6 linked regions of the Oryctolagus cuniculus genome follow. The protein of the gene in region 3 interacts with the protein of the main gene of each other region in a pairwise test. Links are inferred from orthologs where the notes say so. Each region holds a gene or a part of one and is shown on either strand. Other genes may lie near its edges.

The links.
Region 1: the proteins of RTN4 (region 3) and SNX15 interact in binary tests that used the Homo sapiens proteins (3 or more experiments, as listed by UniProt). The two-hybrid records come from large-scale screens. The link is inferred for Oryctolagus cuniculus from reciprocal best matches to the Homo sapiens genes RTN4 and SNX15.
Region 2: the proteins of RTN4 (region 3) and RTN3 interact in binary tests that used the Homo sapiens proteins (3 or more experiments, as listed by UniProt). The link is inferred for Oryctolagus cuniculus from reciprocal best matches to the Homo sapiens genes RTN4 and RTN3.
Region 4: the proteins of RTN4 (region 3) and SPG21 interact in a two-hybrid assay, tested with the Homo sapiens proteins (2 studies listed by BioGRID and IntAct). The two-hybrid records come from large-scale screens. The link is inferred for Oryctolagus cuniculus from reciprocal best matches to the Homo sapiens genes RTN4 and SPG21.
Region 5: the proteins of RTN4 (region 3) and SYT16 interact in binary tests that used the Homo sapiens proteins (3 or more experiments, as listed by UniProt). The link is inferred for Oryctolagus cuniculus from reciprocal best matches to the Homo sapiens genes RTN4 and SYT16.
Region 6: the proteins of RTN4 (region 3) and CERT1 interact in binary tests that used the Homo sapiens proteins (3 or more experiments, as listed by UniProt). The link is inferred for Oryctolagus cuniculus from reciprocal best matches to the Homo sapiens genes RTN4 and CERT1.

Annotation. Positions count from the first base shown.
Region 1 is NC_091432.1:6,511,431-6,516,127, forward strand, and holds part of SNX15 (sorting nexin-15), read right to left. Parts: intron 3,500-4,697; coding exon 3,464-3,499; intron 2,500-3,463; coding exon 2,379-2,499; intron 1,845-2,378; coding exon 1,729-1,844; intron 1,288-1,728; coding exon 1,140-1,287; intron 1,008-1,139; coding exon 747-1,007; intron 1-746. UniProt on the Homo sapiens protein: May be involved in several stages of intracellular trafficking. Overexpression of SNX15 disrupts the normal trafficking of proteins from the plasma membrane to recycling endosomes or the TGN.
Region 2 is NC_091432.1:7,487,419-7,492,884, reverse strand, and holds the start of RTN3 (reticulon-3), read left to right. Parts: upstream 1-2,048; 5' UTR 2,049-2,251; coding exon 2,252-2,393; intron 2,394-5,466. UniProt on the Homo sapiens protein: May be involved in membrane trafficking in the early secretory pathway. Inhibits BACE1 activity and amyloid precursor protein processing. May induce caspase-8 cascade and apoptosis.
Region 3 is NC_091433.1:147,597,163-147,601,157, reverse strand, and holds the end of RTN4 (reticulon-4), read right to left. Parts: intron 3,260-3,995; coding exon 3,190-3,259; intron 2,923-3,189; coding exon 2,876-2,922; intron 2,719-2,875; coding exon 2,660-2,718; coding exon of another isoform or gene 2,656-2,659; intron 2,284-2,655; coding exon 2,241-2,283; 3' UTR 1,290-2,240; downstream 1-1,289. UniProt on the Homo sapiens protein: Required to induce the formation and stabilization of endoplasmic reticulum (ER) tubules. They regulate membrane morphogenesis in the ER by promoting tubular ER production.
Region 4 is NC_091443.1:88,007,992-88,013,405, forward strand, and holds the start of SPG21 (maspardin), read right to left. Parts: upstream 3,148-5,414; 5' UTR 2,918-3,147; intron 2,824-2,917; exon of another isoform or gene 2,802-2,823; intron 2,722-2,801; exon of another isoform or gene 1,021-2,721; intron 1-1,020. UniProt on the Homo sapiens protein: May play a role as a negative regulatory factor in CD4-dependent T-cell activation.
Region 5 is NC_091451.1:8,389,601-8,394,400, forward strand, and holds part of SYT16 (synaptotagmin-16), read right to left. Parts: intron 1,989-4,800; coding exon 1,732-1,988; intron 1-1,731. UniProt on the Homo sapiens protein: May be involved in the trafficking and exocytosis of secretory vesicles in non-neuronal tissues. Is Ca(2+)-independent.
Region 6 is NC_091445.1:473,164-477,963, forward strand, and holds part of CERT1 (ceramide transfer protein), read right to left. Parts: intron 2,616-4,800; coding exon 2,520-2,615; intron 852-2,519; coding exon 719-851; intron 1-718. UniProt on the Homo sapiens protein: Shelters ceramides and diacylglycerol lipids inside its START domain and mediates the intracellular trafficking of ceramides and diacylglycerol lipids in a non-vesicular manner.

The sequences.
Region 1 (4,697 bases), on a different chromosome or scaffold from region 3:
TCAGCCTTGGCTGTCGCGGCCAGTTGCGGAGTGAACCAGCGGATGGAAGACCTCTCTCTCTCTCTCTGTGTAACTCTGACTTTCAAATAAATACACAGAGTTAGACAGCGGTGTGTGGGGATTGGGTGCTGGGGGCACGGACCCCAGAGGCGATGAAGGCCGGCCTTACAGAGTGGGCCCTGAGCTGCTCTCACTTCCTGTCTCACCATGGGATCGTCTTCATTTATTTTTTAAAGATTGATTTATTTATTTGAAAGGCAGACTTACAGAGAGAGAGAAAGAGAGACAGAGAGTGAGTGTGTCCATCCGCTGGTTCATTCCCCAAATGGTCACAACATCCGGGGCTCTGCCAGGCCGAAGCCAGGAGCCAGGAGCTTCTTCCAGGTCTCCCACACAGGTGCAGGGGCCCAAGCACTTGGGCCATCCTCCACTGCTTTCCCAGGCCACAGCAGGAAGCTGGATTGGAAGTGGAGCAGCCGGGACTCGAACCGATGCCCATATGGGATGTCGGCATGGCAAGGTGGCTTTCCCGTTATGCCTGTCGGTCATACCATAACACCATCTGCCACAAGGCCCTGACTGGGGCCAAACACACGGGGCCGCCCTGTCTCGGACCTGCAGCTGCCGACACCGTGAGTGAAATCGGCTCGCTTCCTCAGTGCCCACCTTAGGCCCCTGTTACAGCCCCAGAAAGTGAACCAGCCTCGGCCCCAGACACCCCGGCTCTGGCCGTCCCCATCCGTTACCTTCCTTGGAGAAGGGGTCGAAGAGGGCGAGGTCGGCCTCGGTGAGTGGGCCCCGGGTGGGGGTCCCCGACGTCTCCTGGGGGCTGCCACAGCTGAAGAGGAGATCCAGGGCCTCCTGGGCGGGGCTGGACGGCGCAGGGTCTGCTGAGCAGAGACCACGGGGCACAGGGACAGCTGCGCTGAGCTGCGGCCCAGCTCTGCCAGGGAGCCGCCCCTCACCAAGTCCCTCAAGGGTTTGTGCCCATTTTACAGATGGAGAAGCTGAGAATGAAGATGACCTGTCCAGAGTCCCTCAGCAGGGAGACGGTTAGGGCTGGGGGGTGGGTGTGGACCCCCACGTCCACCCCCGCCCACCTTGTCTGCCCACTCCGGCGCCCAGCCTTCGGCCGGTACCTGGCACTTCCGACTCCTCGAGGCCCCTCCTCTCGGCGGGGAGCGGCTGGGGCAGCCGGGGCTCGTCAGGGGGCGGGGTGGGGATCAGTGGCGGAGGCAGGATGTGCAGGTCCCTGGACGCCTCACAGGGCCGTGCCACCTCGCCACCCTGCGGGAGAGACCAGCCTGGCAGAGTTGGCGGCATGGCCTGCTGGGCAGGTGCCTGGGGGCGGGGCAGGGCGGGGCAGCGTGGCCTGCTGGGCAGGTGCCTGGGGGCGGGGCAGGGCATGGCAGCATGGCCTGCTGGGCAGGTGCCTGGGGGCGGGGCAGGGCGGGGCAGCGTGGCCTGCTGGGCAGGTGCCTGGGGGCGGGGCAGGGCATGGCAGCATGGCCTGGTGGGCAGGTGCCTGGGGGTGGGGCAGGGCATGGCAGCGTGGCCTGGTGGGCTGGTGCCTGGGGGCGGGGTGGGGCGGGGCGGGGCAGCGTGGCCTGGTGGGCAGGTGCCTGGGGGCGGGGCGGGGCAGGGCAGGGCGGGGCGGCGTGGCCTGGTGGGCAGGTGCCTGGGGGCGGGGCGGGGCAGGGCAGGGCAGGGCAGGGCAGGGCAGCGTACCCGGAAGAACTCCTTGAGCTGGGGGCTGTTGTTGAGCGCAGGGATGTGCACTGTGAACCGAAGCAGGTCCTCCGCCCCCTTCCGCCGCTCCTCGATGACCGAGGCTTCGAAGCGGCCTGCAGCGCCCCAGGACGGGGAGGGGGCAGAGCGGCGGTGACCCCAGGGCCCGCCCAGCTCCTCCTCCCCACGAGCCTCCCTGAGGCTTCCCAGGGGGACAAACTTCCCCACTCATCCGCCAGATGTCTCCTGAGCACCCACTACCAGCTGCGCTCAGACGGAGAACGAGAGAGAAACAGTTTCTGTCCTGGATACTGTATCCCCGATGAGAAACAAAGCCTCCATGCACAGAGGGGGAAAGTGACCCACCCAGGGTCACACAGCAAGCTGCCCCTTTGTCACAGGCCCCTGCTCTGCCCTGTGCTGCCGGGGGCATAAGCTGCGCCACCCTGGCATGACCTGCCGGCAACGAGCCCTCACCAGCTGTGACCAAACATCTCATCCCCCCGGCGTCAGGGGACCTGGATGCACACAGACCAGCACTGCCCAGCAGAGACAGAACACGAGCGGCTGGTGCTGCGGCTCAGGGGGTTAAACCACCGCGCGACACCGGCATCCCACGTGGGCGCTGGTTCAAGTCCTGGCACACTCACCAAACACCTGGGCCGGGGGGAAGGCGGGGAACTCCTCGAGACGGCGGAAGAGGTTGCGGTGGGTGTAGGCCAGGTCTCCGTGCAGCTTGCGGAAGTCGCTGTACCGCTTCCAGACGACCACCTGCGGGGACACACGCGGGCTGGCCCGGGCTCGCGGGGGACAGACAGGGGCTGGCCTGGGTCTGCGGGGAACACACATGGGCTGGCCTGGGCCCGTGGGTGACACACACAGGCTGGCCTGGGCCCACGGGGGGCAGACAGGGGCTGGCCCGGGCCCATGGGGGACACACGTGGGCTGGCCCGGGCTCGCAGGGGACACACGTGGGCTGGCCCGGGCTCGCAGGGGACACGTGCAGGCTGGCCCGGGCCCGCGGGGGACACACAGGGGCTGGCCTGGGCCCACGGGTGACACACGTGGGCTGACCCGGGCTTGCGGGGGACACATGTGGGCTGGCCCGGGCTCGCAGGGGACACACACGGGCTGGCCCGGGCTCGCGGGGGACACATGCAGGCTGGCCCGGGCCCGCGGGGGACACACAGGGGCTGGCCTGGGTCCACGGGTGACACACAGGGGCTGGCCTGGGCCCACGGGTGACACACGTGGGCTGACCCGGGCTCGCGGGGGACACATGTGGGCTGGCCCAGGCTCGCTGGGGACACACACGGGCTGGCCCGGGCTCGCGGGGGACACACATGGGCTGGCCCGGGTTTGCGGGGGACACACACGGGCTGGCCCGAGCTCGCGGGGGGCACACAGGGGCTGGCCTGGGCCCACAGGGGACACACACGGGCTGGCCCGGCTTTGCGGAGGACACACACAGGCTGGCCCGGACACGCAGGGGACACATGCAGGCTGGCCTGGGCCCGTGGGGGACACACACGGGCTGGCCCCGAGCCTGCGGGGTGGGGGGCAGCCTCCCGTGCACCGTGTCCCGCGCCCGCGCAGCTGAGGGACGCCTGAGCAGAGGGCACGGCCGCCACTCCGCCCTTGGCGCCCCCCGCGTTCCCCCCCAGGAGCCGGCTGCTGCCTGCTCACTCTGTCCAGACCTGGAAGTGGGGGTGGCCCCGCTCCCCACGAGCCTCACCTCCTTCACATCCTCAGGGTCCTTCTTTGAGATGAACTGAAAAAAAAAAAAGGGCAAGAGCCAGGTGAGACCAGAGGTGGCCGTGCCAGCCCATCTCCTGGAAAAGCTAAGGAGGCCCAGACAATCCCGAGTGCCGCTGCCCCTCGGGTCAGGGCCCCTGGCCGCTGGCATCCCGCTGTCCCTCTGCCACGTGCCTCAGTCCTTCCAGCTCTTAAAGGGCCACCCACCCGGCGCAGGGTAAGAGCCCGCCGGGCGCTGCAGGTGCGCCGCCAGCTCCCAGAAGCCTCTCCGACCTCTGCGGACGACAGCATCACGGACGGACGGAGCTGCTGCTGCCACCCCGGTCGGGGTCTTTACTCCCAGCAGCCCGCTCATCTGCACGCGCGCGCACTTAGGGTCTGCGCGTCTTAGGGCCAGAGCTGTGGCTCAGCGGGTTAGGCCGCAGCGTGCAGCACCGGCGTCCCATGCGAGCGCCAATCCAAGTCTGGCTGCTCCGCTTCCGATCCCGCCCCCTGCTAATGCACCTGGGAAAGCAGCAGAAGAGGCCCAAGCGCTCGGGCCCCTGCACCCACGTGGGAGACCCGGACGGAATTCCAGGCTCCTGGCTTCGGCCTGGCCAGCCTCGGCCATTGCACCCATTTGGGGAGTGAACCAGCAGATGGAAGACCTCTCTCTCTCTCTCTCTCTCTCTCTCTGCTGCCCCCTCCAGCTCTGCCTCTCGAATAAATAAATCTTGTATTAAAAAAAAGTCTGTGCATCTTTATGTAAAGTATAGCTTTTATTATTATTAGTAAACGAAGAACAAAGCCGCGAGGGCAGCCTTTTGGGCTAGTGGCCCAGATGCCTCAGGCCTGAGTTTGAGTCCCGGCTCCGGCCTCTGACTCCAGCTTCCCGCCGCCGCCGACCAGAGGAGGCACCCAGCAGGTGGGTCTCTGCCCCAGCACGGGACCCGGCTGCGGGCACCGTGGGGGTGGCCAGTGCGCGGAAGCTCTCCGCTGTCCGTCTCTCCCTCGTTCCTAAAAATCACTAAGCAACGCAGGAATACCGACGCCTACTCCCGTAAGTGGCAGATGGTGGAATCACACATTCGCTCACAAACGCTGAGTTCATTTGCAAGGATAAACAAACTAATAGTGAGGCTCTCTAAGGACAGCAGGAAGGGGGTGCAGTGGGAATTCTTTAGGAATTATGAACCAGACCCAGGTTACCTGGTGTAGAGCTGAGGGCGGGGCCT
Region 2 (5,466 bases), on a different chromosome or scaffold from region 3:
TTTGATTGCTGTTTAATTTGTATTATTTGACTTTATGTGAGTACTCCCCATGCTCAAGTTTGAAAGCTCATTGAAGACAGGACGAACAAAGTATTTTGGGGGGTCCTTCCTAAATTCTGTGGATAATAGCAAATATACAGCAGATGGTCAGTAGATATTCATGGAACAAAAATGGAACATTCTACAGAAGAACCAAGATAGAGCAAGCAAGAGAAAGCAGGAAGGAAAGACCATTTCAAGACCTAGCACGAAGTTAATGTTAGGGGCCAGCGCTGTGGTGCAGCGGGTTAACGCCCTGGCCTTGAAGTACCGGCATCCCATTTGGGCACTGGTTTGAGACCTGGCTGCTCCACTTCCAATCCAACTCTCTGCTGTGGCCTGGGAAAGCAGTGGAAGATGGCCCAAGTCCTTGGGCCCTGCACCCGCATGGGAGACCCGGAAGAAACTCCTGGCTTCAGATCAGCGCTGTGCTGCTCCAGCCATTGCAGCCAGTTGGGGAGTGAACCAGCAGATGGAAGACCTCTCTCTCTCTCTCTCTCTCTGCCTCTCCTCTCTCTGTGTAACTCTGACTTTCAAATAAATAAATAAATCTTTTTTTTTAAATAAAGTTAATGTAAATTATGGTCTTAAGAGACCACCCAGACCACATGAGTTTTAGCATCGTTTCTCATCTAGCACTTAAATATGTTGTTAAAGGTAGGCCTGTGTCAGAATGGGTGGCTAACTGGCTCGGTTATCAGATTGGCTCAGATTTCCCTTTGTCATCCCAGGGACACTTCGCTGCATTATGGACAGATGCAGTGCCAGGGTAAGATATCTATCATGAGGTTATTTGGGGGAAGATCCAGCCAAGAGGTTGTTTCACCCTCCCCCCACACCCCTGACCTTAAGGACTGTCAAGGGCAGATGTGCCCAGCAGCCCGATCTCGGTTTTCTCTGGTCTGCTTTTCCCCTCCATGGCCGCCAGGCTGACCGCCTCACCCTTCTTGAGGTCGCATCTTTGCAGGATTCGCAGACCCCGCGATTACGCTTCGGGCCATCCATTGCTGCTTTAGCAACAAAAAGCCTGCAGCCTTGATTTTTCTTCTGTCCAGGACACACTCCCCCACCCCCTTAAAGGGATTATGATCCTTTCAAACATTTTGACCAGATGTAAGGAGAAGGCTTTGAATTTGGCAATCCAGTCCAGGAGAAACAAACAAAAATAACAAAATGAAATATTAATAAACTAAATGGTTTCAAATACACTTTCTGCTACGGAGCCCTTTTAGGCTATGCGTAGAATTCAGTTATGCGTATTTCTAAATGCCCCATTAATCTCACACGCATCCCCACCCCCATAGTCGCGGGCAGTATGCTGTCTGCCGGCTGTTCTTTCTCCATCAGCTCAGCTTTTTCTTGTCCCCTCTCTAAAATGCATCTTTTCGGAGGAAAAGGCCGCCTCAGACCCGGCGTGGACCCCCTGCTTAGGACAGTAACGAGGTAAGAATACGAAGCAGGTTCCGCCGCTGCACTGCGGTGTGACCGGAATGAGTAATGGTGGTCCACGCTGCAGAGCATCGCTCCGCCTCATCGGACGGGGAGCCCGGGCCGTCCCCGCGTCGTGCAGAGGGGGTGCACCTTGCAGAATGCGCCCACGCCGCCCCGCGGGGTCCACCCCGCAGCGGCAGCGTCAGACAAAGACCCCGCTCTGGAATGCACGGGGAAAGATGGTTCTAGCTAACACATGCACCAAGAGACCCCCCCATTGCCCAAACATCACATACGCCAGCCCTAAAAAACAAGTCACCGATGGCGCCGCGAGCGACGATCACCGGGCAGCAACCCGCCAGCTCCCGCGGCAGCGGTGGGCGGAGCTTGGTGCTTGGCCACGCCCTCTGCGTCTAGTCCCAAGGGGCTGCTCCCCACCTCGCGCGCGCGCCCGCCGCGGCGCGAGACAGGTTCTGCCCCCCTCCTTCCCCGCGGGAGCGCGGAGGGACAGCTCTCGCGCCTGCGCGCTGCGCCGCTGCGCGCCTCCGCTCGGCCGCCGCCCGCCCCCGCCGCCCGCCGGCGGGGCCTTTGTGCGCAGGCGCGCTCGCGCTCCCGCCCTCTAGCTGCGCTCGGTTGAGTCAGTCAGTCTGTCGGAGTCCGTCCGCGGAGCAGGCGTGTGGCGGAGACTTCGCAGAGCCGAGCGCCCGATTCTTCGGTTTCCCCTCCCTCGCTCCCGCCCCGCGTCTCTCTTCGCCCCTCTCCGGCCCTTGCTCGCGCAGCCATGGCAGAGTCGTCGGCGGCCACTCAGTCCCCGTCCGTCTCCTCGTCGTCCTCCGGGGCCGAGCCGTCCGCGCCCGGCGGTGGCGGGAGCCCCGGAGCCTGCCCCGCCCTGGGGACGAAGAGCTGCGGCTCCTCCTGTGCGGGTGAGGCGCGCGGGGGGCCCCCGCCCCAGGGCGGGCGAGCGGGGCCGGGGGGCTGGGGGGCCGGGGGAGGCTCCCGCCCGCCCCCCGGGGACGAACGTTTGGAAAACGGGCAAAGGGGGAGGGGAGCGCAAGGTCGTGCGGGCGGTGAGGAAATAACGGGGTGTGAGGAAAACAGGTTGGGGGCGGGGAGCGAGTGGGCGTTCACGCCGCGGCCCGGCAGGTGGGGGGGGCGCGAGGAAGAGGAGGAGTGCGCGGCGCGGGGGGCGGACCGCGTTCGGGGAGGCCGACGAGCCCCCCGCGGACCCGGGGTGTCTGCAGGGGGGACGGCTAGCAGGGTCGAGGGGGTCGGGGCGGGGGGAGCAGGGATGGGTTAGGATTGTCTGCGGGCGCGGAGGTAAGACGGTTTGCACGGCACGCCCGCAGACAGGTGTTGACAGAAGCAGACACGCATGACGGTCCTCGACATTAAAAATATTTCTGTTTGCCCGTGGGGGAGGATGGGGAGGTCGAACGGCAGCCTTGGAGCCCGTGCCTCGGCGGTTCTCGGCGAGGCCGGGGCTGCGGGGTGAGGAGAATGGAGCCGGGAGCGAGCTGCCGAGGGTCCAAGATGGATGCGGGGCCGCCTCTGCATCGCCGCCCGCCCGCCCGTCGCTGGCGCGCGTGGGGGTGGGGACGCGCGGGCGGTCGCTCATATTCCGGAGGATAATAGAGTCGTGCCGAGCCTCGGACGCGTTTCGGTGTGGTGTTTTCTGTGGGCTATTGTTGATGGCCCTATAACAAAGGGGGGCTTACTACAGGAACGGGGGAGGGGGAGGACCTTCAGACAAAGCAGGGGCTGGGTGAAGCCCCTTCTCCCGTCGCTGTGAACCACCGGGTGGGGGGAGGCTGCCGGCGGCTCGGTTCCCAGGGTACGCGCGCCGGCCTGCTCGGGGGAGCGGCCTGGCCAGCTCCCCTCGTGCTGGGATCCGCACTGCAGATGCTTTCCTGAGAAACAGTGTGCACCGCCGACAGGTGCTGGTTCTTAAAGGAACGGAGCCCGGCGGGGGCGGGGGCGGGGTGGGAGGAGGAGGGGATGTGTGCACAGATAATTTTGCTGTCTTATTTAGTTGCATTACAGGATTTCGAGAGGTTTTAGCATGCCTCATCGTCTCCTTCCGTGGATTCTTAGATTGATCATTCTGAAAGCTGCATTTCCGATCTTAGCGTTACATACGTTGTCTGCGGGGTTTTCTAACAATGCATTTCCACCTATCTGAGGCTTCTGTGCCCTGCTGGGTTTGCCAGCGTGATAGTGGGCATTTCGACAGAGACCCTGTCAGAGGAAGCTTCTGCAGATAAAGGAATGAGGCAGCAAATTTGGAACCCTTGTTGCCTTGAAACCACCAGCGTTCCGCCTCCAAATTTTTGTGTTCTGGGCGAAGGCCCAGAGGAACGGTTTCCTTATAACTTAGAACTCGTTCTTTTAGCTTTAATCACTTGTCACTGCTTACTGTTTGCTTGTCCTTTTTATGTATACCTTTGCTTTTTCTTGTTCTTCAGTTTTTGATTCAGATCTAAGTTTTAGGAATTGGCCATTTGTGCTCAAGTGTTGACTAGTGATTCTAGTTAGCAGGCACTAAAATTTCATTCTAACGTTTATAGCCAAATGGTAGCATGATTTGAGAAGCAACCTTTCTATTCCTTTAATGTGCTCTTACGAAAGAATTGGCTCCCTGAGTAGGCCAGTGAAATCAGACTATTCTGTTCACAGCTATGCCTAACGTACCACCAACACCAAGCAGACCCTAAATTGGCAACACAAATTTGATGATATAACATGTACTTCTGTTTGCACGTATTTCTGTTATTATTTACGCTAGTTGTGATTTTTATTTATTTCTTATTGATTTTGTTTTTGTTTCTGTTTTTCTCAGAGGAATGCTTTATATATTTATGACAAGTGAAAGAGAAAGTGGGAAGGCATAGTTCCCTTAAAAAACTGCCTCCCTTATTTATTTTTTATATTTTTTTATGATAGTGGAAAAGATGCTGAAATTGGATGTTTTGCCAAAAGTACTGGGATTTGTATTCTGACGTAGTGTTCCAAGTACATGGGTTGGCATTAGATTTTCCTAATACTGTTAAATTCCTCAGTATTCATCTATTCATTATTTCTTAGCAAAATTTTTGTCACAGAATTTTTATTTTTTTTTTAAGATTTACTTATTTATTTGAAAGGCAGAGTTAGAGGCAAAGGCAGAGAGAGAAGTCTTCCATCCACTGGTTCACTCCCCAAATGGCCACAACTGCCAGAGCTGGGCTGATCCGAAGCCAGGAGCTTCTTCTGGGTCTCCCATATGGGTGCAGGGGCCTAAGGACTTGGGCCATCTTCTACTGCTTTCCCAGGCCATAGCAGAGAGCTGGATTGGAAGTGGAGCAGCCAGGACTAGAACCAGTGCCCATATGGGATGCCGGTGCTGCAGTCAGCAGCTTTACCTGCTATGCCACAGCACCGGCACTAGATTTTTTTTTTTAAGACTTATTTATTTATTTTTAAAGATCTATTTATTTATTTGAAAGTCAGAGCTACACACACACACACACACACAGAGGTATTCCATCTGCTGGTTCACTCCCCAATTGGCTGCTGTGCTGATCCAAAGCCAGGAGCCAGGAGCTTCTTCCTGGTCTCCCACGTGGGTGCAGGGGCCCAAGCACTTGGGCCATCTTCCACTGCTTTCCCAGGCCACAGCAGAGAGCTAGATTGGAAGTGGAGCAGCCGGGTCTCGAACCAGCGCCCATATGGGATGCTGCCGCTTCAGGCCATGGCATTAACCTGCTGCGCCACAGCGCTGGCCCCAAGCCCTAGAATTTTTATTTCTTAGATCAGCTGTGGACACTGTCACTATTTGCTCTTAGAACAGCGTATGATATATAGTGACACTTGATAAGTTCTTGTTGAATGAAGCATCAAATTTATGAGCTAGAAAGAAATACCTGGACACTTAAATATTCTGTCTTAAACTGTCCACTGCAAATATGTATTAATATTGTCTAGAAAGCATGCATACAGTTTGGTGGGCCCAGTGCAAGC
Region 3 (3,995 bases):
TGTCCTATGTTTATGTCTTGGCTTCCTAAATGAAAAACATCACTTGAGCCCAGAAGGGATCAGAATTAATTTTTGTTATGTTTAGTGCCAAACCCCCAAAACCCAAAATATAATTCAACTAAAACAAAGCTCTACTACAAAACTCAAGTTAAAAACAAAACAAACACACTCAGGTCCAGGTGGATGAGCTGACTGGTCCTGTTAAATCTGACAATGGTAATTAATGAGGTGACCTGTGGTTATGCCTTGTTTGGACTCCATTGATTTGCTACAATTAAAACTATGTAGGTTAACTCTGCAGACCAAACCTCTAAACTCAAGGAGTATTCGACAAAATTATACACCCAAACAAATCTAAGAGTTCCTCAGAATTAGCTGTGTGACAGAATGCAAGCTGCACACTATTACCCTGACGCCATCCTTAACCCCCTTTGGTCACACTCTCCACGTAGCCCAGTTGCTGATGACAGGGCAGGGTGGATGCAGCTCACTGAAAGCAAAGTTGGTGAGTGGACTGGTGGTTCTGGCACACAGACACCTTCCATTCAATGAACTAAAATTCTGGATCTTCAGTTCCTGGCCATTTGCCATTTTAGAAAAAAGGTAAAATGAAGCATTTCAGTAAATAATAGATCAACATTTTACCACAGAAGTGCTTCAGCATTCTAATGGATTAGATGACTCATTAAGCTATTTTTATATGCCAGTTTACTAATGCCTTACATTAATCCACTAATAGGTTGTGGGGCCCATAGTAGAGTCCTTCTGCAGTCCTGTTTTCTGTAACCATGTTACTGATGACACTGAGTGATAATCATGTCTGCCTAAATATATTGTACTACTGACCTTTCATACTGATCCAGTCTCGCGCTGAAATAACCATATGGAAGAACAACGAATTGATTGATGACATGTACAACTATATTTAAAGAGCAATAGTGTCCGTGAGTCAAGAAACCTTCTTAAATCTTATTTGTAAGCATTTATATATGGTTTTGTGTATGTTCATAAATCTGTACTGTATTCTATATGTTTAAATACTGGTGCATGAATTTATTTTCACTTACTGTATAAAATGCCTACTGTAAAAACATTTTGGTATGTGTCAAATAAATTTGATTATGTAAGCATGCTCTTTGTTTTCAAAGTATCCAAAGTAAACACACCTGCACCATCAGCCGAAAATCTTTCCACAAATACAAGGAACCACTCACTGGTTGAAGCAAAGTCTACCAGTTGTGTACACTTTTGATCTACTGCAGTTTCACGAAACCAAAATACCACATCCATTTGAGTCTATAAGCTTTATTGATACTTTGCTTTTACAATTCACAATGCATTCCACAGATTTAGTTCAGTACAGCTTAAACCACAACGGTATAAGTCCATTTTATAATATCTTGCATAACAATGTTTGATATTTGCAAACAACATTTTTGGAAGCATTAGGTTCAGTCCACAGATTCAGAGTTTGTGACAAAATTAACTAAGTAAGTCGGTGCAATGAAGTTTATGTCAGAGTTCTATGTGTATGGCATTGTCTCATGTTGAAAAAGGATGGTAGTGCTCCTAGAAATATATTTTCTTTTTCTAGCTTATGTGCTTTGGAACTACACATGGTAACCAATGACTCTGAAACATCAAGCACTGTGGGGACAGCTGGAAGGGAAAGGGCTAAGCTTTGTGAAACACTATATATAGATAGATATATATAATCTATATTTACTTATATTGGCAATTAATATAACAGTAAAATTCACAATACACCTAGAACATATCAGAAAGGCAAGCTTTTTCATTCTTGCTTTAGTGGTATGTTCTCGTCTAAACATTTCATTTCAGAAAATCTGCATCAATCTACACAGACCACACACAGCGCACAAACTGTGAAAAGGGTTATTTTTTCCAGCTCCACTTTCTCGGCAACTTTCCAAAAATACAGCAAGACTACCTGCAACCAAGTGTAATATACAGCTTTCTCAGATCTTTTTTTTATTCATCAGTGCCTCATACAGGAAAAACAAATATGATTACGGTTTAAATCCATACATAGCAGCTTACAAATACTTAAGATGATGAACACATGGCAGTCAAGACAGGTAATTTTTCCTCAAACAGTGCATTGCTAAAAATAAAGATCTGTGAAGCTGCACTGTGATGTCAAGGTTTCATTCTTCCCTGACCCTCCCCCATGTAAGCAAATAAACACCCCCCTTTCAAAGATGAATTCCTATTGTTTATCATTCAGCTTTGCGCTTCAATCCAGGGATTTTTGCTTGAATTCTACAAATGAGAAAGAAAGGAGGAACAGTCAATGTAAATATCTTGTTTTCTGCCCCTTGAAAAGCCATCCTTCAATAATTTTTCATTTATTATTCAGTTTATATAAGGACAAACTAAGGCTGCCACATGTTATAAGCTATAATTTTGCCACCTTGGCTCCAAAAATTAGATTTAAGTAAAGTCTTAAATATATCTAGTAAAACTAGAAATTAATGATCCAAATGTTAGAAAAAAATACTTTGCTCCAATGTTACCCTTTAAAGTCTGACGATTTGCTATTCAATGCCTACAATGTAAAAAATGGAACACCAGTCTCAAAATCCAGCATACCTTATCTTTATTTAAAAAACAAAACTTATATATTTTAACTACTTACTTAGCCATAGCATCTTTAACATTCTTATTTGCAAGTCCTAGATAATGATCTATCTGCGCCTAAAAGAGAGATATAAAAGGAGTTGTAAGAGAACTTCTATTGCTATAGAATTGTATTAACCATTACTATGGATTCACAAATTAAAGGCTTAAAAAACCAGTACTGCTATGTAATAGGATGAGCACTGCATTCTGCAATCAACAGGTAAGAAATTACCTGATGCCGTTCATAAATAACAGGAACACTGAAGAGTGAGATCAGAGCTGAAAGAGGAAACACAACGTTTTACTACAGGTGCCCCTGGTTAGCTGTATGACTGCCCCATCAGCTAAGGCCACCTTTTATCTGTTTATTGTGGTAGTTGCAGCAGTCTCCAGGAGCTAAACAGCCTTTCCGTAAACTGAGTATCCGTATCGGAATTTATAGAAAGATCACAATCTCCCTATAAGATTATTTTCTACTAAAATGCCTGTTTTCTCATATCTGTTCTTTCTCTACCATTTTTCATGCTGGTGCTTTTATCAACTTACCCAAAATCAGAAGAGTCAGACCATTGAACAAGGCACCAACGTAGGTGAATACCCACATCAACACTGCAAACTGTAAAAAAATTCAAATAAAAATTAAGTTTTCTAATGTAAGAATGCCATCTAAATGCCAACCTACTATCAAAATTTGATGTACATTAAAATATTTCCCTTTGAAGTCTCAGTTCAAAATTTCAAAATCCCAATTAAACAATTAGTAGATTTGACCCATTTTTCCCTGGAGCACACTAACAAGTGGTTAATTCTGTTTTCTGAGATCAGGGAATGTGCCAAAGACACACTACCTTCAGATCTCTAACATCATTTATATCTTACAAAATTTAGTTTTTAAATGCGAAGACTGAAAAGGTACTATGAGAATTAGCTATAACCTTAAAGTTACCAAGTCTAAATGCTTGAAGATATCTGAACTAAATAATTCAAACATTAACATCTCAGGCATCTGATAAGCAATAACGAGGCAGAGTGTTACTACAGAAACTAGGTTTCAGGTACCAAAAATATCGCTTCTACCCTCCTAAGGTTAAGAGAAATAGTTAACATTTGTAAGGCGTCTAAAATGGTAACTAGTGCATAAGTAAATTAGTGTTTGTTAAAAATGCAGTGGGGGCAGGGCCAGTGCTGTGGTGTAAGGGTGAAGCCACCGCCTGCAATGCCAACATCACATATGAGAACCGGTTTGATTCCCAGCTGCTCTACTTCTGATCCAGCTACCTGCTAATGTGCCTGGAAAACAGTGGAAGATGGCCCAAGTCCTTGGGCCCCTGCACCCATGTGGGAGACCCGGA
Region 4 (5,414 bases), on a different chromosome or scaffold from region 3:
TGGGAGGACTCGCCTGCTGATCTGTACCATGTCCGCTACTCAGGGGCCAGCCTGGGCTGACCAAGGACCGGCCAGCAGCAGGGGATCCCAAAGTCGAAGGAGCTCCTTCCTCCTTGTGGGCCAACCAGGCCTGCTCCCTCAGCAACACAGGACACAGGAGCCTCCACTGTTACCTGTGGGGTTACTAGAGTGAACCCCAGGGACACAGCCAACGTAGACTCTTCACGACCCTGACACTGGAGTAACAGTCTCTCAAAGCTAACACGGCACTTTTAGAAAAGTGTGAAAATTGTAATTTGCCTGAAGTACTAACAAATTGCCAGTCTTACGCTCAAAGTGTGTATAGACGTAATTATTCACACTGGAATAAAGACAATCTTTTTGTGTGCATCTATGTTATCTTAAATACTAACATGTTAAAAAAAAAATAGGGGCAGGCTATTACCCAGTGGGTAAGACAGCCACGTGCCCCCACTGGTGCACTTCCCGGCTCTGGTTCCTGACTCCAGGTTCCCACCAATGCAGACCCTGGGGGGCAGCGGTGACGGCTCAAGTAACGGGGTTACTGCCACCCATGTGAGAGGTCTGGATTGTGTTCCTGGCTCCGGGCTTCACCTTGGCCCAGCTCCAGTAGCTTGTGGCATTCAGGAAGTTAACCAGTGGATGGAAGCTCGCTCTCTGTCTCTCTCAAACAAACAAATACTAAGCCATTTTAACTACAGCCTTCCTCTAAGCTGGTTACTACTTTTAACAGAAAGAACAACCACACAGTTAATTCTGGAATACTTTCTCCCTGGACAGACAGGCCACATTCTCATATCCCCTAAATACTTCATCTTTTAAAGCTTGAAAGATTGCTTCTAGTCATCAAACCAGGGGTAGAACACAATATTCAGTTTTGGAATCAGCTGCAGGGCGCAAACCAAACTACCTCACATATCCACATACTCTCACACAGCCCACCGACTCACTCACTCATCCACTTCTCTCCAGAGCAGCAGGTGGGAAGATGCTCCTTACCAACAGTCCTCAGGAGAATTCGCGGCCACCGCCCGATTACAACAAGTTATAACTAACCTTGCCGGACCGAGCGACTGCACTCAGCTGGGACTACATTTTTGTGGCGACAAGTGATTTTAACACTTGTGCTAGTCTGGCAGTACATGAAAGGGGAGACAGATACCAAATGCTGCAATTGACCAACTGACGTCCAGGTGAAGAAAAGCTCACTTCCGCAAGGGACAGCCGCTGAGCAGTCTGACAAGGAAGGTCTGTTCCCCTGGCTCTCTTTCATCCATCGAGGGGCACACTTTCCAAGACGGCGAAGAAGGCTGGCTGAGATGGTGACCAAACGGGTCAGGATTAAGGCAGAAAGAATGTGGACGGTGAGCGCAACACGGATTCCATCGCCCATGACTGAGTTTTTCACAGAAACGAACGCACCTGCTCTGGCTGGCAGGGAAAGGCTTCGGCGATGACAGCCTCACTCTCCCCTAAGGGCACCGGGTGTCCGGGACCCCGTCCTCGCTGGCCTGGAGCTGCTGCACAGTCACACTGCCAGGTCGGGGTGCGAGCTTGTCTTGGGGGCCCTCACACTCTGCCAGTTTACAGCCCACGAAGCTGCCTTTACAAGTGTTGCAACCACACACCCGGCTGTGCTAGTCCAAGGTCTCTGATCCTTTATCTCAATCTATGGCTGTTCTACATGCGGGCGACCTGTCCCGATTAATACCAGCAAAACCAAGCACTACATGGCCGGCGCCGCGGCTCAGTAGGCTAATCCTCCGCCTGCGGCACCAGCACACCGGGTTCTAGTCCCAGTCGGGGTGCTGGATTCTGTCCCAGTTACCCCTCTTCCAAGACAGCTCTCTGCTGTGGCCCGGGAGGGCAGTGGAGGATGGCCCAAGTGCTTGGGCCCTGCACCCCATGGGAGACCAGGAGAAGCACCTGGCTCCTGGCTTCAGATCAGCGCGGTGCGCCGGCCGCAGCGTGCCAGCCGTGGTGGCAATTGGAGGGTGAACCAACGGTAAAGGAAGACCTTTCTCTCTCTCTCACACTATCCACTCTGCCTGTCAAAAACAAACAAAAAAAACAAGCACTACAGCATGGAGTTCTGAGCTTTTTAACACACGCCTCCATCCCTCACCCCATCAGTACACAGACACCCCCCCCTTTTTTTTTTAAGATCTCTGCTTCTCATCAGGAATCTATTTCATCATCGCCAAACCTCTTGGGAGGGAAAGCTGCCTCCCTGACATCTCTTCTCTGACAGCTCCTCCTGTGCTCTTGGTATATAAAAGCTTTTGGAACGCTGGACACACCCCTCAGGCCCAGCCCATAGGAGCTGGACCATTCCAGGAGACAAAGACACAGCGAGAGTGTCTAACTTGTAACTCCCCAGGAACAGGGGAGAGGCCCTGTGACTCCTGATTCCCTGTCTACCTGGCCCGAAAATCAGCAACGACAAAGGCATCTGTCACTTTCAGGCCGAGGGACAATCTCCACAATAAGTGGCCTTTGTTCAGAGTTCTTAAAAGTTATCTGGGAAAAACAGAAAAGTTCCTGGGCTCTGCGGCGCAGCACCAGGATGGGTCTGCAGGCGTCTGTCCCCGGGAAGCCTTCTGTCCACTCCAAGGCCTCCCACTCCCAACGGTGACAGCCACACAAAGGTAGGGTCCCAGGCACACCGCCCACCCCCGCCACGAGCCCAGGCTCGGCCTCAGGACAAACACCTCCCTCGCGCACGGGTCTGCGATCACGTGCATGGTCACATGGACCGGCCCACTCGGGATCACACTCACACTCACAAAGTCACATCCGGCCGAGGCAGCTGCGCACGCTACACACCCACCACCCACAGCCCCGACACACGCCACACCCCCACAGCCCCGCGGCCCAGGGCCTTGCCCGCCCTCACCTGCCGTGGCCGCCCCCACGTCCCCGGCCCTCCTGCCCTAGGCAGCTCCTTGCTCCAGCACTGGGGCGGGCCGTGGAGGCGGCTGGGCCCGGGAGCGGGCCGGGGCCGGGAGCGCTCGGGACCCACAGGGGCCGCCGGCAGCGGGGGCGCGCGCAGGAGGCCAGCCTCCGAGGGGCGGGGCGCGCGGCTCGGCGAGCTCGGCCGTCGCGCTCCCTCCTCCTCCGGAACCTTGGCTCAGCGGGCTCGAGCCTCCCGCTTCCGGGTTCGGCGGTGGGCGGGGCCACGTCGCGAGGAAGGGGCGGGGCTGCGTGGCGCGGGCGGCGCCATGGCGACGGGGAGGGCTGGCAACTCGGGTGGGAGACTGCAGGTGTTGTGAGTGCTGCGAGCTGCCGGGCAGCCCGCATCCGGTGCGGCGGGCGTGGGGGAGGTCCGGGTTTCCTCTGGGTCGACTCTAGGTCACCTGTGTGACGTGAGCACCCAGGAGGAAGTTGTGGGCGTGGACGAAGGGGACGTCTGGCCCCTGGCACCTGCTTCTGCGCTCAGTTGGCTTGCGTGCTCCCGTCCTGCAAAGCTTTGAGGAGATTCGTTTGGGTTCCCGGTTTTGGGGAACAGGACTGTGGCTATTCTTGGCAAGTTCTGTTTTTTATATACCATTTGGCGCAGGCACAGACGCCTCGTTGTCTCCACACGAGTGCCTCCAGCCTCGTGCTCCCGATGTGGGACATTTCTGGGAACAGACTCCCACCCTGCCTCTGTCAGCACTTTTCCTTTAAAGGCCCGGAGGCATGTGAATGGCTTCACTGTCATTGTTCTCGGACTCCCTTCCCCAGTTAAACATTTCCAGGTTTGCACTGGAGGAGGGTATGACACATGAATGGCATGGAAGGCTTCCTGTTGGGAGCTTTTAAGGGACCCTGCGGCAAGGCCCTGCTCAGTGCCTCTCTCTAATATGCTTAAAGCCTGTGTCCTTGCCCATGGGAGTAAGGTCAGGGAAGATTCCAGTTAAATTGCATCCTCAGTCATGACCTCTGTCCTCTGGCTCAGGAACCTTGGGTTCCAGGCCAGCATTTGACCAAATCCCCAACACATTTCCCAAGAGCAGGATGACACCCTCGCCTACTGATTTCCAAATCACCTCCTCGGGAGTGGGGGTCAGTCACGGGAACTGGTCTTTGTTGTAAGCCCCACACAGGTGTGTACACTCTGTAGAGCAGGCTTCCATGGAAGGCTTTAACCTTGGGAGATTGTTCTGAGGATTTTGGAATAGTTTAATGAGTGGAATTATTACTGGAGAATGGCAGGGTTCTTCGTGCAAGAAAGAATTCAGGCATGAGACAGAGTAGTGGAAAGTAGAAGTAGCGAAGTTTATTAGGGTAGGGACATCCGCAAGAACGGATGGGCACCTCTCCGGACGGGACCTGAGAGACAGTGCAGTCGCTTGGACGGGGGGAAGGAGCCAGGTTACATGGTTGAGTGGAGAGATTACACCTGGCCAGGCAGGTCGGCGGCTCAGCAGAGAGGCAGAGGGCTGAGCGCGCAGTCCAGTTGAGGCCAGGGGTTTTTAAGGAGAGGGGTCTTGCTTCCCCACCTCTGCTCCTCTTGGAACAAAGGGCTTTTTGGATGTAAATAGAAAAACTTCTGAGTTTTCCCCTGAAGGTATCAGACTGGAGGAAGGCTAGCTGGCACCATCCTGAGTTTAGAGGAAGGGTGAGCAAGACCCCTGGAGAATGGGGATCCTGAGCAGGGTGTTTGAAATGCAGATACTGAGCTGCATCTGGGAGATTGTGGAAGATTTGTCAGGCAGAAGGGGCGGGGGACCCCCCCCCCCCACCTGGCAGGTTATCAGGTAGCAGGGGGCAGAAGGGGGCAGGGCAGGATGTGAATACCGGAAACATTATCAGGATGACTTTGAGATGCAGATGCATATGCTGGACATAGAAGTCTTCTCTTTAGGCCTGTTACACACACATAAGCTCATATCTAACTTCCTACCTAACAGAATCAGCAACAAGCCACGGGCTGGGCCTAAAACCTATGGTGGGCGTTTGTTACACTGGTTTCCATCTGTCCTGCTGGACCAGAAGCTGCCCGGAGCAAAGGGAACAGCATGATTGAACCAGTGCCTTAGTTCATGATCTGGCCAGGCATCAGTAGACACAAAGGACATACTGAATGTATTGAGTAAATAAATCTATCCCTATCTTTTCATCAAACTTAGACCCCCATATCCCTAAACCTCTCTTTAGCAATAGCTTTCATGAGATCTAAGCTTATGGATATACCTGCATAAAGAAGTCCTTGTTCTGCTACATGGTGCTAAGAACTTTTAACCTAATAACCTATCATAATGTAGATATATTTCACAAACGATCTACTCTCTTATTCTGTAACAAAGACCAAACATGAAAATAATGAAGGTTCTGTCTCCCTTAGTAAAGGACCACCGGTCCCGGTTGTGTCCTCAGTTGTTCCCCGACACATGGTAAGCACCGTCTGC
Region 5 (4,800 bases), on a different chromosome or scaffold from region 3:
GCTCCGCCTGGCTTTATGGTGAGGGAGCCCAAAACGATGTTTTTAAATGTTATTGTGAGGGACTGGATTTGGACCAATGGGGAGGAAGCAGATTTTGTATTTTTCACAAAGCTGACAAGGTTTGCTGTCTCCGTATGAAGGGCTGCTTTTCACAAGACATGAGCCACATATCTGGCTTACCATTTCTGGTTCTCAGCAGAAACACCCACACGGGGGCACGAACGCCCATTCGTACGCCACCTTACACACTCCAGGCACAGCTAAGGTGGCAGCAGTAAAGCTTCAGAGTGTGAATTTTCTGGAATATTTTTTCTTTTCCCTGAGCGTTTCAAGTGTTGCAGTTCAGGCAGACTCTAACAAAAGACCCATCCTGGATGTTTTTTTCAGACTGATGCCAAGAAAGCCCCTTCACCCTTCTTCTCCTTCCTCCACCCCCACAAATGATACACCTCCATGATTTATTTCCTCAAAACTAATTTCAAATTGGGTATTGAACAGCACTATTTAATGCCTTCCAATGTGATGGAATCATAAAAGGATGAAACATTTTGATGTAGAATAACCAGAAATGCCTATAAGATAAATCAATGTTATTACAGTGCCCAGCATGTACTGACTGCTCAAGAACTGGTAGCAACTTCCATCATTACCCCGGGCATATCTCTGGATGGTGAGTCATATACTGGGCTGCATTGTCAATGGAAAGAAATTTAGAAGACATTTATGAGACTTTTATTCCAAAAAGCAACATCGATGGCCATCTCCATGTCAACCCAACTCAAAGCCTACAAATGTACTCACAGTAACAAATCTTCATCACAATTTGTGGAGAATCACTTTGTTTTAGTTCTTTCAAATAATTTTCAGAGTCAAATAATCATAAGTGCTGGTTTTTGCCCTAGCTGCTGTAATGTCAGTTAAGATAGCTATGCCCTGTATTGGAATAACTGGGTTCAATTTGCACATTCCTACTAAGGCACACACTGGGAAGAAGTGGTAATGGCTCAAGTGGTTGGGCTCCTGACATCCACATGGAAGACGTGCATTGAATCCCCAGCTCCCAGCTTCACCCTGGCCCAGCCCTGGCTGCTGTGGGTATCTGGGGAGTGAACCAGTGGATGGGAGTGTTCTCTTTCTCTCTGTCTCTGCTTTCCTCCTCCAACCCTCTGCCTCTCTCTGCCTCTCCCTGCCTCTGCTCCTTTCTCCTGTGTGTGCATATGTGTGTCTGTCTGTCTCTATCATTATTTTTCAAATAATTTTAAAAGAATTTTAACATTAAAACTCAAGAGTTGTGACAAACACAAATAAACTCCACTTCACTTGAAACCCTGAAGGAAATAAACCAGTTTCCCTAAATAACCAAAGAACCCTCTTTACAAAATGCTGCTAGGAAAGTCTTTAGAAGGAGAAAAGCCCAACAGCTGTTGAAGTTCTAAGTGTAGTTCTAAGTTGAGTCTATCCTGCCACATTCTTGTTATGCTTTCCTTTTCCTCACCACTCTTTGTTTTCCATCTTGAATGAAATTAATTTATTTACAATTCTTTTATCAACACACATGGGGCTTGGGTCATGGGAACAGAAAGCTATTTCAAGTGAAAGAGCTTTTGTTAGGTCTTTGGTTTTCAAGGGGATGTTTCCTTTCTGGAGAAATTCAGGGGAGAAGGGGACGAGGATGGAGAGGACAAGTGGAACCAGTGAGTGTGAGGACAGAATGCAGAACAAACAACTCGCCTCTGGACTCCACATGGAAGAGCTGTCGGTGGCGTAGGGATCCTCCAGGTCCTGAGTATTGAAAGCTCTGTCCCTCTCCAAGCTCCCCTCTGCGGACTGGCGACTGGGGCTTCGGGCCACGCATGTCTCTTGGCTAGATGCACCATGGCGCCTGGTATCCCCCGTTTCACATGAGGACTGTGAGCGGGCAGTGATGGGGGAATCTTCACCATATGACAAATTCTCAGGATAACTTAGCTGGCTGGCTCCATCCAAATCTAGATTTTCAATAAAAAAAAAAAACTATTTCAAAATCTTTTATTTTTACATTTTTTCTTACCTACAGAAATTCAGTCACTGCAATGATTAAGACCATACAAATAAAACTTATTCCAATAATGTCTGCAGAAGTATAACTCCATCAATACAGTGGATAAATTTGATCTATATAATCAAAAAGGTCACTAGCAGTTTATGTGGGGTACAAGAAGATTTAATGCTTTGTAATACTGTGAACACAAAGAATGTATATTTATATCAGAAGGATAAAATAAACACATTACCATTATGCTGGAGTTAATGACCGTAAGGCTTCGGGGAAAGATCCAGAAAGCAAAAGCAGTCATATGGAGATCACACAGTCTCCTGTGTCACTTTTCCTTTTGTTCTCTGTATTATTCTCTGCTCAAAAGTCTTCAGTGGTTCTCCGAGTTATAAAGTCCTTTACTCGGGCCAGGCGTTTGGCCCGTGGTTAAGACACCTGCATCCCATATTGTAGTGCTTTGGTTTGGCTCACGGCTCTGCTTCTGACTTGAGCTTCCTGCTAGTGCAGATCCTGGGGGCCGCAGTGATGGCTCAAGTGGGTTGGGTCTCAGCCTGAACCCAAGTGCAAAGGCTGGACTGAATTTCTAGCTTCCAATTTCAGTATAGCACAACTCAGTCTGTGCTGTTGGCAGGTCTGGAGTAAACCATTGGGTGGAAGTGCTCACCTTCTCTCTCTCTCTCTCTCTCTCTCTCTCAAAGGAAAACAAATGTTCTTTACTTGATCTATGGAGAGAACACTGGACTTGGATTCAGATAATCTGAGTTTAAATCCTCTCTGCTTTATGAACTTGAACAATATTGAAACTCTAAACCTCTGATTTCTTACCTAAAAAGGGATAAAAAGCCACCATAGGGCTATTGTGGCTGTGTAAGTTCATATCACCTGGATCCCAGTAGACATTCCATAATTGTTAGCCTTGCTTACATCTCTGGTTTGAAACGGCCTCTTCTAACCTGTCACATCCCATTTTCTACTGCTTCTTAACTCATTGCCACCCGTGGTCTCACTGGTTCGTGAACCTGTAGTGATGCATTTCTGTCCACAGCAGTATTCAAACCCTCCATCCTGTCCACCAAAGCCTCAACAATCCTGAGCCTTCTGACTCTACATCAAAGTTTTACTCTGACATTAGTATTATAGTCTCTCTCTCTCTCTCTCTCTCTCTACCACACACACAGCCTGTTGGTCTTACTCTTCCACCTCAGTGTCTAAGTTGCAATCAGAAGGCAAGGAACAGCTGATGGGGTCTTCCTAATCGGTAGCCTTCCCCTTGATGTGGCCCCCACACTCCAAGACCAGCAGAGGCTGTCTCACCTCTTTGGCCTCCAGCAGCCAATATCCCAGGATGAGAGGAAATTATAAATACAGTCGGGACGAGGATAGCAAAGTATGTCATAAGCTCGGTTCTCATGTGCATACTGTACATAACAATCATTTCTCCCGTTAACCTTTTGGAACCTCAGCTAGAACATAAGCTCTGCATGCGTCCACTGCCTCTACTTTGTCTGCTGGTGAGCTCTCACTACACCTGCAAATCACTTTAACGTCTGCAGGCAACAAGTTTTGAAGCAGCCAGGTGTGCCCCAACACAGAGTGAGGGTGACAGTGGTTTACCAGAGAATATATGACCCATTTATATAAGCAGTCAGACTTGAAAATCTATCATCACCCTATGCAGACCACATGAAAACATCTTCAGGCTGAGCTGGTCCCCGGGACACAGCTACAGACTCCTGAATGGGGACTGCACAGCAGGCCACTGAGAAGTGTGCACTGTGAAGAATTCAGATCAGCTCCCTTGGAAACACTCTCCTGTGACACCACAACATTTTTACATTCATGCTCTGAGCTATTTGGCAAACACACTACAAAAAAGGCCGCAGAAAATGACAGAACAAGGGAAACTCCACATGCAGAAACCTACAATATAAAGCAGAATTTTCTTCCAAGCCTCTAATTAGCACACCCATTCCTCACATACATGAACAGTAAAATGTCCTATTAAACAGTGGGCCATCCATCAACATGTGTAGCACCCAGCAGGATTTCAGCACAAAATCTAACTTTGCCAAGAAATTACCCCCATAAAATTGTCTCATGGCTTTAACTCCTACAGTGATAATACCTAGATCAGTAATAAGGGAATTTTCAACAGCTACATTAAGCCTTGAAAAGCTATTCATAACTGAAAAACATAAGAACTGTATTAATGTAACAAAGCATTTTCCATGACAGAGAAGCAAGAAATGAAGTGGAAATGCAGATTGGGGTACAAGTCAAATTGCAAGGAGGAAAAAAGGGAAAGATGGTCCACCTTTACATAAAGCAGTCTCCCCAAGGCTTTAAATGAGAGAGGATCCTGTCAGCTCACACAGAAGCATGAAAGTAATTGCTTATTATCAGAGAAATATATCCTGGCTTCTTAGACATAATAGGTCATAGCTGTGTCATATCGATATTTATTTTAGCAGAGAAATTCTTCAACTTGTTTACTCCGTATCCTACTTTGGTGAAATAAAATCCCTTTAGCCACTTACTTCCTTTCATACTCCCAACTCTTCCCTCCCATCACCTGCAATATACAAAGACTTTGGCTTACCCTCTGTGATGGTTGGTTTTATAAGTCTACGTAGCCAGGAGTAGGTGTCAACCATCCAATCACACATTAATATAGGTATTTTGCAGATATGGGCATTTGGCTAGGCTGCCTGGAATATGCACATCCCTTATCGGAGTGCCTGAGTTTGAGTCACAGACCTGCACCC
Region 6 (4,800 bases), on a different chromosome or scaffold from region 3:
GAGTGTGATAAAGGATAAACATTCTGTTTCAGTTCTGTCTTTTCCACTAACTGATTCTGTGCCTTTGACAAGTCACTTGACCTATGGGAGTCTTACCTTATGTGCATGTAGAGTGAGAAATAGTACTGATAGTAATCTACCATGAAGACGAACAAGGAGAGGCATCAGAGCACAGGATACACTACCCTAAGGAACACTGTCACAGTGAAAAGCTCTATTTAAATGTTAGGGGTGTGTGTGTGTGTGTGTATACATACTTTCTGTTGTTAATATTTATTTATTTGAAATGCAGAGTTAAATGAGACAGACAAAAAGACAGAGACAGTGAGAGAGAGGTCTTCCATCCACTGGTTCACTCCCCTAATGGCCACACTGGCCAGCTCTGGGCCAGGACAAAGCCAAAAGCCAGAAGCTTCCTCTGGGTCACCCACAAGGATGGAAGGGGCCCCAATACTTGGGCCATCCTCCACTGCTTTCCCAGGTGCATCAGCAGAGAGCCAGATCAGAAGTGAAGCAGCCAGGACTCAACCAGTGCCTATATGGAATGCCAGCACTGCAGGTCGCAGCTTAACTTGCAATGCCACAGTGCCGGCCCCTATCTGGACTATTTTCTACACTGACCTTATAAACTACAGTTCAGATACAGAAAACTAGGTTCAACTTGATATGAAATTCAAAATAATCATTAGGTTGAAATACACAAGTAACAGCAGCTTACTTTCCCAGTCATTGCGAACATCAACATTCCAGAAGTAACTGCAGACCTCATGTCCTGTGACACCTCTAACCGCATGGGTAGCTTTCAAAGGATCCAGAACGATTCCATTTTCTTCTACTTCTCTTCTGTACACCTAAAGAGGGCGTATTTAAAACTGTTTGAAAGATAAAAAGCAAATCCCTAGAGACTAGAAAGTCTGTCTTTAAGCTATGTTTTAGATTAAAAAAAAAGTCATTCATTTTTATTTATTTGAAAGGCATGGTGACAGAAACAGAGAGAGCATCAAGAGACAAAGAGAGATCTTCTGTGTGCTGGTTTACTGCCCAAATGCCTGCACAGCCAGGGCTGGGCCAAGGTGAAGCCAAGAGCCCAAAACTCCATCCAGGTCTCCCAGGCCAAAAGATAAGTATAGGAGAAAAGAGCACGCATCCTGGGCTGCTCTGGACTTGCTCCTGAGGTCAGCTCTGCACTGACCAATTAGCAAGACCTTTCAACAGCTGAGCTAAAGCCCCTTTTCCAACCAGCTTATCAGAGTGTCTCCTTTGCCTCCTCCATGTCAATCTTCTTCCCTACTCAAGAGGAAATCCCTGTATTCATACTGTATCTCATTTGCCAGGATAACTTGTCTATACAAAAACCCTGAACACATGATTTGCTTTCACTTTATTGGTCCTTTTCTTTTTGTTAAAATGTCTCGTTTCCATCTCCAGATACAGCTCAGATATTTCTCCTCAATGTCAAGCAATCTAAAGACTTGAAACTGCAGAGGTTTTTCTTTCCTAATTTTCTTCACCACTCATCTGTACTCTTCCTCTAACACATCATCAGATGGAGTCAGCAATGCTCTTTTAAATATCAATATCCCCTTTACTCAACTAAAGCTTCAGCTTGGAAGGAGTCTGATTAAATCTCTCTAGATCTTTAGCTTCAATGTCTTGGGACTGAGGCATCCCGGAGTTCAAGCTGCTACTGCTATCCAGTCCATCTCTGCAGCTCCTATTCCTGGCTCCTATTCTGTGTCTTGTGCTTAGTGATTGTGAACAAGACTAGTTGAGCAATGTTCAAACATCGAAACAGGTGCAAGGGCAGGCATGTGGCACAGCAGTTAGGATGCAGCGTGGGACATCTGCATCCCAAATTAAAGTGCCTGGGCTCAAGCCCTGGCTCTGCCTCCAATCCAGTTTCCTGTTAATGACCGCTGTGGGAGACAGAAGATGACGCTCAATTACCTGGGTCCTCACTACCCACAGAAGAGGCCCAGACTGAGTTCCTAGCTGCTGGCTCTGCACTGGCACAGCTCTGGCTGTTCTGGCATTTGGGGAATGAACCAGTGAATGCAAGATATTTTTGTCTCTGCCTTTAAAATAAATTAAGAAAAAAAAAAAAAAAAAACCAACCCTTTTTTAAAAATGCAGTGAGAAAAAAAGAAAAAGGTAGGTATAGGTATAGATCAACAGGGAGAGAAAGTGAAACTTAGGCACAACATTCAGTGTACTTAAAAAAAAACAACTAAACATGCAAATCAAGGGCCATCAGCTAAATGTGATCTGTTCCTATCTAAATTCTCCAATTCTTTCTATGACCTAGGCAAAACAACATGGTCTGGTGATAGATGCATACGATAATCACAAAGAAGTAAGTACAAGTGAAACCGGAGAAGCACAGAGACATTTTATTTCTAATATCTGGTTCTTCGTTGATGGTAGTAACTTGTTTTGAAGTGATTTGAAGATGCTGTCCCCATTCATAGCAATAATAGTGAGAACCCAACAGAGCTCCTGTCACGTTCAGTGGGGATTACCTTCATCTCTCCTTCTTCTACAACCAGCTGCCAATTGGCGTCGCCACCTACATCCTGCAATGAGTAAGTCATGTGGTTGTGCACCATTTCTTCAACCTTGGAAGGAAAAAGAAAGCGGTGAGGATCCACATTCTGCAGGTATGTCACGCTCTAAGACAGAACAGTACTGTCTACTTCAGTTCAGAAAGGGTGCGATTAGAAAGCTGAGCAACCACACGCACAGTGGTTAGTGAGCAGGCGTTTTACATGGCTGCCAGAGTTCAGTCCACATTCCAGACACTCAGGTTAATGAAAAGAGGAAAAAATGCAAGATGCTTTTACTCAAGCAACAGCCTGGCCTCATGTGCACCAAGTGACCGGAATCAGCATTTTCTGAGAAATCAAAGCTTCTATCCTCTACTTTAAAGTACAGAGATGATGTCTTAAAGTGGAAAACCATGGTACGCTAAGGGCAGAGACACACAAAGGGGTCAGAAGCTCAAGTGTTCCTCCACTTCAGAGTATGCAGGGATACCAGAAACCCAGTTATATGTTAGAGATCTGACACAAAGGTGATGCACTTTCCCTTATTTCATTGAAAAACCTTGATGTTATTATAAGAGGAACTAACTTACAAATAACCAAGCCCCAACTCTATTGTGCTAATTCTTTAATTCAAGCTTTTACACGTAATCACCTTTTAGCTCATCTTTCTAAATTTCTGAATAAGCTTCTTTTACTGAAATTTAAATGCCTTTAACATTCACAAATTACACTTTTGTAGCTTCTATAAGCAACTAAAACTGAACACATATTGAACACTCCTAGAATCTTCAATCACAGTTATCGGTAACATTTCACAGGTGCATTCTTTGCAACATTTGCTTCCCAGTTTGAAACATGTTTTTAAATAGAGCTGAGGTGATAAATACTGTATACACAAAACAATGTCATAATAAATACATCATAGTAGGCAGAAAGTAGGTTGAAATTATGTACATTATACTTCTAGTTAAAAATTTACTCCTGAAGTTCACTATTATTTCCCTCAAGACTACTGTGTGGATCAGGACTGCAGAACAAGGACCTAGTCCAAGCCGGCTCTGAAGTAAGCACACACTGGGTGTCAGGCCGCAGCTCTCCAGCTCTCACCCTGGAGCACGGTTTTGTTTCCTTGTTTTTTTTGACAGGCAGAGTTAAGACAATGAGAGAGAGAGAGGTCTTCCTTCTGTTGGTTCACTCCCCAAATGGTCGCTGCGGCCGGCCCGCTGCGCTGAACCGAAGGCAGGAGCCAGGTGCTTCCTCCTGGTCTCCCATGGGGTGCAGGGCCCAAGCACTTGGGCCATCCTCCACTGCACTCCCAGCCCACAGCAGAGAGCTGGCCTGGAAGAGGGGCAACCGGGACAGAACCGGCGCCCCAACCGGGACTAGAACCCGGGGTGCTAGTGCTGTAGGCGGAGGATTAGCCAAGTGAGCTGCGGCGCTGGCTGGAGCACTGTTTTCTATAGCAAGGGATGCCATCCATGTGAGGCGCTCCAGTACATTCTATAATTTCATGAAGTCTTCATTAGAAAATGCAACTGCTTTCAGAGGGTCAGGATGATAAGGAACGATTCTAAGTTACAAATACATACAAAATGTGTCTCAAAAGTAAGCACAGTAGTGTTGCCTTCATTCATCAGTCTGTATCACATTATGTTGGGATAAAGTTTTGTCCTCTTTAGATCCCAATCTTACAATTCTTTAGGTTTGAATATGGGATTTCAGGTGAGAAACAAGGGAGTTAAGAACACCGAGTTTATTCCAAGCTGAGGCAGAAGGAAATGCTCCCCAGAAGCAAGTCTTACTCTAAGCGGGTTACCTGTGAAGGAAGGTGTAAAGAACAGGGCACTGGAGCAGGCGCTGTGGTACAGCAGGTGAAGCTGCCACGCCTGCAGTGCCGGCATCCCATATGGGCGCCAGTTCAAGTCCCGGCTGCTCCACTTCCTAGCCAGCTCTCTGCTGTGGCCTGGGAAAGCAACAGAAGATGGCCCAAGTCCTTGGGCCCCTGCACCCATGTGGGAGACCAGGAAGAAGCTCCTGGCTCCTGGTTCTGTATTGGCACAGCTCTGGATGTTGTGACCATTTGGGGAGTGAACCAGTGGATGGAAGACCTCTCTCTCTTTGCCTCTCTGTAACTCTGCCTTTCAAATAATAAAACTTCTTTTTTTAAAAAAAAGGGTGGGGGTAGTAATTTTATTCTGTTAAAAATACTTCTGCTTTGAAAAAATGTACTTACATGTAGCTCTTTTTTCAGAAAGTA